Linked DNA regions of Coturnix japonica. The protein of the gene in region 2 purifies or fractionates together with the protein of the main gene of each other region. This does not show direct contact. Links are inferred from orthologs where the notes say so. Each region holds a gene or a part of one and is shown on either strand. Other genes may lie near its edges.

Evidence for each region. The genes of interacting proteins can lie anywhere in the genome.
Region 1: the proteins of CASK (region 2) and SNTB2 purify together in Homo sapiens (affinity purification with mass spectrometry; 3 studies listed by BioGRID and IntAct, with this or other methods). This does not show direct contact. The link is inferred for Coturnix japonica from reciprocal best matches to the Homo sapiens genes CASK and SNTB2.

What each region holds. Positions count from the first base shown.
Region 1 is NC_029526.1:16,871,249-16,876,759, forward strand, and holds the start of SNTB2 (beta-2-syntrophin), read left to right. Parts: upstream 1-2,242; 5' UTR 2,243-2,263; coding exon 2,264-2,870; intron 2,871-4,709; exon of another isoform or gene 4,710-4,715; intron 4,716-5,215; coding exon 5,216-5,426; intron 5,427-5,511. Other genes in the region: UTP4 (U3 small nucleolar RNA-associated protein 4 homolog), read left to right, coding at 329-393, 507-629, 731-890, 1,012-1,118, 1,229-1,324, 1,421-1,606, 1,776-1,886, 2,069-2,185. UniProt on the Homo sapiens protein: Adapter protein that binds to and probably organizes the subcellular localization of a variety of membrane proteins. May link various receptors to the actin cytoskeleton and the dystrophin glycoprotein complex.
Region 2 is NC_029516.1:100,753,466-100,758,876, forward strand, and holds the start of CASK (peripheral plasma membrane protein CASK), read left to right. Parts: upstream 1-2,285; 5' UTR 2,286-2,819; coding exon 2,820-2,878; intron 2,879-3,005; exon of another isoform or gene 3,006-3,154; intron 3,155-5,411. UniProt on the Homo sapiens protein: Multidomain scaffolding Mg(2+)-independent protein kinase that catalyzes the phosphotransfer from ATP to proteins such as NRXN1, and plays a role in synaptic transmembrane protein anchoring and ion channel trafficking.

The sequences.
Region 1 (5,511 bases), on a different chromosome or scaffold from region 2:
GTACAGACCTCTGTATTTAACCCCAGGGCAGTGTCTGGAGGACTACAGGGTGCAGTGTGCCAGAGCAGCAGAGGAGTGGTGCAGCCCTACTCTGCTTATGGTTGTGTTACCCAGTGCACGGTGTGTTACACAGTGCACAGCCATGGTGCTACTGGCAATGTACTCTTCCTGCTGAGCTGGATGGTGCCCTGGGGAGCTCAGCCTCAAGATGGCTGGGGAAGGGTCTGGATCCATCCTGGTGTCTGGTACCACTCTCCCTGGGTTTCCTGTCTTTCTTACTGGGGTCTGCATGGTTTCTGTTGTTGCTGATGCTTAGTTGTCATCCCAGGAAAGGATGGAGAGGTCCTTCCCGTGAGCCGGATGCCAGAGCACCTCCTGCAGCTCAAGAGCAAGGTAAGGCTGAACTGGGGCTGGCACTTGTGCTTGGCACCTCTGCTTCCTCTGATGGCCAAACTGCAGGTGCCAGGAGGTTCTGCAGACCCCATTCAGCACCTCTACATCCCCAGGGTCCCGAGCACATCTACTGCAGCTGCGTCTCACCCTGCGGCAGCTGGATTGCCTACAGCACTGCCTCTCGCTTCCACCTCTACCACGTGCAGCATGAGGGCGACAGCGTCAGCGTCAAGAAGGTGGAGGCTGGGGAGGCTCACAGGGAGCTGGGGGCTGTTAGTGGCACAGTGTGTGGGTCAGCAGCAGCGTGACCGCCGGTGTTGCCTTCTCCCCCTGCAAGGTCCCTGGTGTGCCCAAGCTGCTGCTCCCAGCCTACCAGCTGCAGTGTGCTTCCGACTCAGGAAGGCTCTTCATCGCCTCCGACAGAGGCTCTGTCCATGTGCTGCAGCTGCTGGAACCGGGGGGCTGCAAACACCTGCACACGCTGCGCCCGCCTGCAGGTGGGGAGCCCTGGGGCCCCTGTGGGCACATGGCTGAGGCTGCTGCCCTCGGTCTGGGACACTTTGGAGTGGTTGAAGAGTTTCTTGTGTCTGTGTAGCATTTGTGTGTGGTGTTGTTCAGGGACCCGGGAAGCTGTCTACCTGCTGGCATCGAGCGCTGATGGGAACTGGCTGGCAGCGGTCAGCGGGGACTGGGAGGTGCACATCTACAGCCTGAAACACTTCAAGGTACAGGCAGGGCTCTGTGTGGGGCCCCCCGTGGTGTCCCATGGGCACTGGGGGAGGACCTGGTGGGTGTCAGAGGGCACGTGGGGCAGCGTTGTCCTTCTGCCTTTCAGCACCACTGCACAGTGCCCACCTACAGCTGCGCAGTGACAGCCCTCGCCATCCACCCAACCACCAACAACCTTTTTATCTCCTATTCGGACCAGCAGGTGGGAGCTGTGCCCTCAGCAGCCCTGTGCTGCTTGGGACCGGCTGTGTGCTGCCATTGGGCTGATGATGGGGACCCATCTTTTTTTCCTCCGCAGCTTTTTGAGTTCAGCATCCCCGAGAAGCAATACACGGCCTGGAGCCGCGCGGTGCAGAACAGCGGGCTGCACAGGCTGTGGCTGGAGAGGGACTCCCCCATCATCCACATCGCCTTCAACCCCAAGAACGCGTCGCAGGTCCTGCTGCACGACGTCTACATGCTGTGTGTCCTCGATAAATCCCTGGTGAGCCGAGAAGGGCCCCACTGGAGCGTGCTCTGCAGGGGCTGCTCGTGTGGGCACAAAGGGAAGGGCAGGGGGTGTGCAGCACTGCAGGGGGTGTGCGGGGCTTAGTGCAGAGCTGCAGCACTGACAGCAGCACTGACAGCAGCACTGACAGCAGCTGTGCCCGCAGCCCCTGCCCGACAACAAGACCATGCTGTCCAACCAGAGCACCCTGAAGCAGCTCTCAGAGCCCGCCCGGCGCCGGCAGCTCCACGCCTTCAAGATCTGCAAGAAGTTCCAGGTGGGCAGCTGTGCCAATGTGTGCAGCTCATCCTTGGGGGCGCCCTGAGCACCGCCCCGGGCCGGGCTCCCCGTGTTCCCGGTGCTCACCCCGTTGGTTGTGCTCACCCCGTTGGTTGTGCTCACCCAGTTGTGCTCACACTGTTGTGCTCACCCGGTTGTGTTCACCCGTTGTTCCCGCAGCCGCTGCTGTTCGCGGACCTCCTGGACGAGCGCTGCCTGGTGACGGTGGAGCGTCCCGCCGTGGACATTTGCCCGGAGCTTCCCCCGCCGGTGCAGCAGCAGAAGTTCGGCACTTAGCCCCGCTCCATCAATAAACGCGCTGTTCTCGTCCTTACCGTCAGCGCTCAGCTCCGCCCCGCGTCCCCCGCCCGCGCCATGGAGTCCCGCCACCGCCTCCCCCTCCGTCCAATCGGAACGCGGGAAGCCGCCCCCGCCCCGCCCCTCGCGCCGCGCGCAGCCAATGGCGTCCCGCCATGCGGGCGGGGGGCGTGTCCTGGCGGTGGGGCCCGTGTCGGGGCGGCGCGGCGCGGCGGTGTCGGCATGGCCGTGTGGACGCGCGCGTGCAAGGCGGGGCTGCTGGAGCTGCTGCTGCGGGAGCGCTGGGTGCGGGTGGCGGCCGAGCTGAGCGGGGACGCGCTGAGTCTCACGGCCGAGCCCGGGGAACCCGGCCCGGGGCTCAACGGCGTCGCCAACGGCGGCGGAGAGTGGGGCGGCGCGGAGGCGGCCGTGCCCGGCTGCGTGCGGAGGGTGCGGGTGGTGAAGGCGGAGGCGGGCGGGCTCGGCATCAGCATCAAGGGCGGCCGCGAGAACCGCATGCCCGTGCTCATCTCCCGCATCTTCCCGGGGCTGGCGGCGGAGCGGAGCGGCGCGCTGAGGCTGGGCGATGCCATCCTGGCCGTCAACGGCACCGACCTGCGGGATGCCACCCACGACCAGGCGGCGGAGGCGCTGAAACGCGCCGGGAGGGAGGTGATCCTGGAAGGTACCGGCCCCGCGTCCCACCCCCCCAACCCCCGTCCCGCTCCCCGCCCCGGGCTGCCCTCAACCCGGCCGTGTCGGAGCCCGCTCCCTGTTGCCGTGCTCCCGGGGCTGGCAGCGGTGCCCCGGGCCCGGCGCTGCTCCCCGCGGTGCCCGCCCTGATGCTCCGCACGGGACTCGGTGCCCGCCGAGCTCCGGCTCCTGCCCGACCTGTTCCCGGCAACCTGGGGCGGGACCTGCCGGTGCGGCGCTGCCGGTGCCACCGGTGTCAGCGCGCTGCCACCCCCGCGTCCCGTCCTGATGTCCACCGGGGCCGCGTGCCGGTGCGAGGGCGGGTGCGGATTTGTGTGGCTCAGCTGCCCCCGCTGGGTCCGGGGCACCGGGGGACGAGGAGGAGATGAGCCGAGTTTGGGGCTGGGAAGAGCGCGCAGAGGCAGACAGCATCGCCCCGTGGATGTGGGTTGGGTCCCCGGCCAGCCAGGAGTGCTGACGCTGAGCCCTGTCCCTGCTCTCCAGCCCTGGGCTTCACTTGCAGGCAGCTGTGCTGGCCGCCATCAGCACAGCGGAGCAGAGCCCTGCCCTGTCCTGGGTGGGAGCTGGGAGCTGAGCTCTGGGCCCACAGGGACCTCGGTGCTGGGCAGGGAGTTTGGAAAGAGGAAGGAGGTCTGTGAGAGGAAACCCACACGTATGGGTGGGGAAACCACTCCGGTGCTTTTGGGAGGGGGCTGGTAATGTTGGGCTGCGAATGGGGGTCTGGGCTCTGCTGAGAGCCCTGTGGGTGAGCCCAGGGTGCAGCGGCCTTCCTGCAGAGAGCTGTGAGGGTGCAGCAGTGCTGGGTTTCCTTTGTGGTGAGCGTGTAGGCGTGCTGTGCCATGACAGCCGTGCTGGGACACAGCTCAGCTGGTGAAGCTGCATGTGCCGCTGCCCCCTGTGCTGCACCACACCGGTACGGCAGCTCCATGCCCTGCCTGGAGCACTGCCCCCAGCAGCATCTCCCAGCTGTTCTGCCTCTGCTGCTGCCTGTGGTTCGGTGCTGGGATACGTTTCCTGCAGTGGCCACGGTTGTACAGCCCAGCAGTGTCTGTACTGTCTTGGCCACAGCAAGGGCAGGAAAACCACCAGGTTGACTGCACCAGCACCACCCACCCAAGCATTTGGAACGTTTTGGTTGCACATCTGGTGCTGTATGGGTTCCCCAAGGACTGCAGGGTGCCCTGTGCAAGCCATGGGAGGTGGGCATGAAGGATTCATCCAGCAGCTCCCGCTTCGGGCTCAGAATCCTGCCCAGGGAGTTTCAGGGATGTGGTTGCCTGTGCTGCCGGTTGCCAGCAGCACGGCTCAGAGCACAAAGGGCTCAGCGCTCACTCCTGGGCAGGGAGCAGCAGCCCCAGCGCTCTGCTCTCCATCCCCAGCCCCAGCTGCAGGCTGCCAACATCTGGCTGCCAGCTGTGAGCCGCCTCAGGGGCTGCCGCCGGCGGAGCCCCCGTCCACAACCATCCATCCCAGGCGCTGCCCTGCCCGTGGGGATTAGAGGTGCGTGGGGAAGGAGTAATCCGGGGATAAGCGCGGCGGGAGCTAATATTATCTCCTGGTGCCCGCAGCAAGGGCAGCGCATCCCGTCCAGCTGTGTGCCGGCTCAGCAGCACCGGGCGCCCCGCGGAGCTCCCACCACGGCCTCTCACCGTCTCCTGCGTGCGGGGAGCTGCGCTTCACAGCTGTTTCACAGCAGATTACCGCTTACTCGCTGCTTTTTTTCGCTTTAATTCCCTGCTGCCCTGCGGCCGTTCCCTCCCTGCTGAGGGGGCTCCGCTCTCTGGCTGGGCCGCCCGCTGCTCGGCGTCACCCCCCGCTCTGTGCTCTGGCACGCAGCGCTCCCAGCATCTGGAACGCATTGTGTTGGCTGTCCCTGAACGTGACAGCGGGGAGCGGCGCGGTGACGGGACGGCACTCGGCGAGTGAAGGATTTTGGTTTCCTGGCGCCTACCATGTGTTTGGGGAGGGATGGTCCGCGGGGACCCGGAGTGATGCGTCCTTCCTTCCTCCCAGCCCGGAGAGGAGCGCGGGGCCGGGACGTGCTGGCTGCAGGCACCATCCCGGGGCCGTGATCGCCTGCGGCGCTGGAAACTTGGCCGCAGCGTGCGGCTGGGTGGGCAGGATGGGCAGGATGGGCTGCAGGCTGACCTCCCGCCCGCACCATTGTGCCGCACCGCCGAGCCCTTCCGATCCCCGCATCCCGATGGCAGCGGGGTGGGCCCCGTGGGCCTTTGGTTCCCGGCAGGGGTCGGCACTGGTGTGACCCCGCGTGGCCCCTCTTCCCCCCACCCTAACAGCGACCCCCTGTGTCCGCAGTGAAGTTCATGCGGGAGGTGACGCCCTACATGAAGAAGCCGTCGCTGGTGTCGGACCTGCCCTGGGAAGGGGCTGCCCCGCAGTCACCCAGCCTGAGCGGCAGCGAGGACTCGGGATCGCCCCAGCACCACGGCGCCCGTGACCGCAAGGTCATCCCGCTGAAGATGTGCTTTGCTGCAAGGAACCTCAGCATGCCCGACCTGGAGAACCGGTGAGCAGGCGGCGTTCGGGAAGCGCTTGGCACGTGTCTCTGTGCCCCCATCCCGGCCCCATTGCTGGCAGCACGCCTGCAGCCG
Region 2 (5,411 bases):
TACATGCAGGTCCCCCCCCAAAAGAAACACAGCCAACTGCCTTCTGAATTTCTCAAAGTGTTTGTTTGATAAGAATATTTCAGTGCAAAGCTCTCCATGTATTATGCTTTGTATTCCTTGGTTGTGGTTTCATTTGTCACATCCATGTTTGATGCCCAGCACTTGGCATTCAAAGGGAGGTGAGACACCTGTGAAGCGATACTGCTAGAGCAGGAAAAGCATTTGCCTCAGTGATTGAATGGATCTGGTACGGACGTTTTACTTCTTTGTGTGTTTTTATATCAGATTTTCCTGTTGACTTCTAATGATGAATCTGTGTATTATCAGATGACAATTCATAGGTGAATGGAAACACCATCTTCACATTTGGAAACATTACTGAAAGGCCTGAGCGGTACTCAGCCTGCTCATCTCACAAAAGGAAAAAAATGGCTGCTTATGTTACCATATGTGAAATTTACAGAATTCCAGAACCATAGAATATCCTGTGCTGGAAAGAAACCATAAGGATCATCAAATCCAACTCCAAACTCCACACAGGACCAGCCAAAATTCAAGGGTCTTCCTTCAGACCCTATGTCTGAGTGCACTGTCCAGATGCTCTCTGAACTCCGGCACTTGGGGCCGTGCCCACAGCCCTGTGCATCCCGTTCCATGCCCACCGCCCTGTGGTGCAGCCCCTTTCCCTGACCCCCAGCTGCCCCTCCCCTGGCACAGCTCCATGCCGTTCCCTCGGGCCCTGTCGCTGTCACACAGAGCAGAGCTCAGCGCTGCCCCTCCGCTCCCTGTGAGGAGCTGCAGCCGCCATCAGGCCTCCATCAGCTCCTCTGCTCTGCGCTGAGCACACCGAGGGAACAGACAGTCTAACCGTGTTGGCTTTTTATCAGCATTCCAAACTGATGCTGTTTTAACGTTTTTAAAGGTTTGTATGGCACAGAGCGTAACCTCATAGGAACATCTCTCACCTTACACCTTACCACCATGCAGATTATAGGTTTAATTATTTTTGACAATTCTGCTTTGATAGTCTCTTTTTCTTCTTTTTTTCTTTTCCCCTGTGTGCAAGGAACAACCGTGCCGCTTACCTTTGTGTAAATGAGTTTTAAGAAGCTGCATGTGTGCGAAACTAGTACAGCAGAAATGAGGGCTGCTCCGAAAGTAATGCCTCCTACTTGATTATGTTGGCCCAAAACATCAGAAGCAGATGTTGGTGGTATGGCAGAAGATGTCAAACCTTCCCACTGAAATTCTGCTCCGTTTTGTAGCCATATGACAGATGGCAGCAGAGGGGCACTGTGACACAGTGGCATCTGATGTGGAAGCGCATACAAAGGTGTGTCACTGAATTCTTCCAGGCTGAAAAAAAATGGCACCCACTGACATTCATTGATGCTGAATGTTGATGGAGACCAAGCAGTGGATGTGAGCACAGTGGGGCGGTGGGTGGTGCCTTTCAGCAGTGGTGACAGTGGCAGTGGGTCACCTCTGCTGGTGTGGATTGTTAGGAGCATGACATGCAGGCTCATGTTCATGGCTGTAGAAAATGCATAGCTAGTGGTGCTGAGCATTGAAAAAACAGTGTTTCATAGCTGAGAATTTACTCTAGTAACAAGTAGTGCCATTGTGCTCCTTCTATCTGTAGTGGTTTCCATGCAGACAAATAGGAGACACGACCTTTGCAGAAACCTACACGCTTTGGAAACTGCAACAGCTCCCAACTAATTCAGGCACAGAATCACAGAATCGTAGGGGTTGGAAGGAACCTCTAGAGATCATCGAGTCCAACCCCGCTGCCAAAGCAGGCTCCCTACACCTGAACACAACGCTCTTCTGCAAGGCTTCTAACTCAGAGCTCAGGAAAACAGAATCACAGAATGACCCGGGTTGGAAGGGACCTCATGTAGTTCCAACCCCCAAACAGCCCCAAACGCCAACAGCCCCTCAAAGCTAGGACAAAATCCGCTCTACCCGTCCCCGGACAAAGGCGCAGAGCTCGGGCAGAGGAGCTGTTAGGGCAGGCAGGGCTGCAGGGTGCAGCCGACTGAGGAGCACCCCTCCCCACACCTACAGCCGGCTCAACCCTCCCCACCGCGCTCACTGACAGCCGCCCCGCGGAGCCCCCTCCCGGCGCCATGACGTCATGGCAGTGCGCGCCTGCGCACGCCGCGCCGACCGACCCCTGTGCGTGCCTTTGCGTGACGGCGGCGGGGAGCGCGCGCGCGCCCCCGCCCTCTCTCCGTCCCTCCGTCCCTCCTTCCCTCCCTCCCTCCCCGCGCTGCCAGCGCCTATCGCGGCCGCCGCCGCCTCTTCTCCTCGCGGCTGGGAGCGGAACCGACGGCCGCCTCCCCGCCCCTCCCCCTCCTACTATTATCCTCCCGCACGGTGCGCGCTCCCGTAGCCACCCTCCCCCCCCCTCCATCTCCTCCCCGGTGCCTCGGGAGCGCGCCCGCTCGGCGAGGGAGGGATCGAGCCGGCGCTGCCGCCCGCCACCGCCGCCTATCCCCTCCATGGAGCTCGCGCCGCCCCGCTGAGCCACAGCCGCCCGCCCGCCGCTGCCGCCGGGGAGTAACCGGGGGAGGGAGGAGGGTGGGGGGAGGAAGAGGAGGAAGGTGGGGTCGCGGGGTGCGTGACACGCGCGGCGGCCCGAGGAGCTGAGAGCCCCTGCGGCCGAAGGTTGCGGCTGTTGGCGCTGAGCGGCGGGGGAGCGCGCCGCGCGGCGGGGAGCGTGTGCCCGCGGCCCCCCCCGCTTCCTTCTCCTCCTCCTCCTCCTCCTCCTCCTCCTCCCCCCGCACCCGGGGCCGCCGCCTGACGGGCGGACCATGGCCGACGACGACGTGCTGTTCGAGGACGTGTACGAGCTGTGCGAGGTGATCGGCAAGTGAGTCCCGCGGGGAGGGGGAGGGGGGGGAGAAAGAAAGAAAAAGGAGAGGGGATGGGGGAGAGCGGAGCCCCCCCCCCCCACACACACACACACCCAGCGCGGGGATGGCGTGCCCGGCACCCACCTGAGTCGCGGTGCGGGCAGCCCCGGCGCTGCCCACCGCCCTGAGGTTGGGGGGAAGGGGGGTGGGGGGAAAGGAAGGCGCCCCGGTGCTTCCTCAGCCACCATGATCCCCGCCCGGCCGGCCGCCGCGCAGCCTGGCGCTGCCCAGCCCTCCCGTTCTCCTCCCCATCCCCGGCACACCCATCGGTGGTTGCCTGCTTGAAGAAGGATCGCTGTGGATCCACCTATCGCTCGGGTGGCCGCGCCAGGTGTCGGCTCTCCCCGCGCCTTGGCGCACAATGAGCGGCGTGCTGCCGGCGGTGCCCCTGGCACCCCGTGCTCGCGCGGATCTGCCTTCGCTCCGCTCCCCGGCGGCGTGTGAGGCAGGGGGAGAACTTGGCCTCTCCTGTCTCCTTATGCAACTGTTAATGCGTGTTCGTGTCAAACCTCGGAGGTCGCCGGCGTTTTCTGGCTGCCCGTTTTGGGCCACGCTCCTGTGGGCTGCGTGGAGATGACAGCTCCGTGCGTTACCACACCAAGAAAACGCAGAGCATCCCCCAAATCAGATGGCACCGAACGGGAGCCCAACTCTCTGTATTTTCGTGACCAGCCAGTTTCTAAATCCTATTTTTGTTTTATTTCGTTGCGTTCCACACGCCTCCTATAGTTGTGCTTGGGTTGAGTGAAAGATGTAGCGGTGTTGCTGCTTCTAATTGTCTGCGTGTCTGACTGAGCAGCTGAGATTGCTGTGGGAGCCGCTGCTCTGGGTGCCTGCAGCTCTTTCTTCCTGAGGATGAATTCAATCAGAGCGGCATTCCCCGTGTTTTGATTATAAACAAAGAGTTCTTCTGCATGTATTCTCCCTCCCGCTCCCCTCCAGCGTGCTTCACAGTTTCTATCTGCTGCTGCCTGCTTTGAGAGCTCAGGCTAAAAATATTCTGGAATTAATCTTTCCTGAGGATTATACTAAAATGCTCGTCTTGGACTTAGCAGGTTACTTTGTTGGCAGCTGAAGTTTCAGCACTCTGCTCTGTCGTTTCACACGGTTATTACCACCTTGCCCTGGCCACAAACAACTTTTAAAAATAGGAAGCTTAGAGGGCCTTGCTTGCTGTCATAAGCTGAAAGGGCTTTCGCCAGTTGTTCGTGGGGAGCTTATGTAGCCGAGAAACAAAACAGTGATTATATGTGGTTTGAAGATGGTTTTTGGCATGCTCCTTTCATGAGTGGTTTTAAGCTGACCACTGCAGTTCACGCACTGCTTCCTCAGAGCTGGCTGCCATTGGAAGGAAAGTGAAGTGCTTCTGCTTGACAGGACTATGTGAGCTTATAGAGAATGGCTCATTCGCAGCCATCCAGATGTTGATGCGGCTCCACTGACTTTCGATGTTGTGATCTGAGAATATCAAAGGGATTCAAGGTTCAGAACCTGTGAATTGTGAAGCTTCTTTGGCTGATACCTGAGATTGAATTATTCTGGATGTGTTGTGATGTAACCTGATCTAACAGATAAGTGTTGGATTGTAGGAGCACGGCGCTGCCAAGAGCACTGTAACAGAACAGGGTGGATTACTGAAGCTAGCAGTGGTGGTAGGAAGGGGTTTGCGTATGGATGTTGTGTCCCTCCTCTAATAGGCACAGTTGTATTTGTACAGTTGTATGAGCAGTGTTCCTGTTTCATTGCAGTGCTACTCAGGTGACTTCTGAGCAATCGGGGATGCAGCGTCTTTAATTAGCTTTCACATTTTTGATAGCACCCCGCTCTTCTTTAGGCAACATGGGGAAAGCCTCATGTAAAATCTGCCTTGAGTTGCTACGTATGCATCTGGCTAAACATCTATCAGTGAAACACCAACTAAACGTCTGCACCTTCCCGTGATTTATTATTGATTGATTGAGTAATCTGCTTCTTGCAAATAGCACATCCGGCCCCTGACTTGTGTTTAGGTCCATGAAATATTAAAGCGTGTGATTTATCCTTCCTAAATGGGTAGTTATCGCTGTCATTTAAAGTAGTAAATGGTATTTCCAGAAAGGGTGTGGGAAAGAGATTTTGGACCGTAAAACAACTGAATATTTTGCCTGACTTTGTAAGAGAAATCTCAAAGTTCCCATACAGTCTACTTGAGAAATAAGTCCTCTATGGGTGTTCCCTTGCTGGCAGTATGTGGCCCTGTTTGTTGAAGCTTTTGAATAAACTTAAAACAGTTTCAAATGCGATAAACTGATAAGACTTATTTTGTATAAACACAATGATAATAGCTTTTTGCCGGAGTGTGGAGCAGTAACTGTAATAGTATGTGAAAGAATTGATCGGGATGACAGAGTGATGAATCGTTTCTTACGTGGCATTTAATGTGTTTAAGTTCTGCAAGCATGCATTTTTCATTCTGAATAGATAGAGGATAAAAGAAAAGCCAGGAGGGAT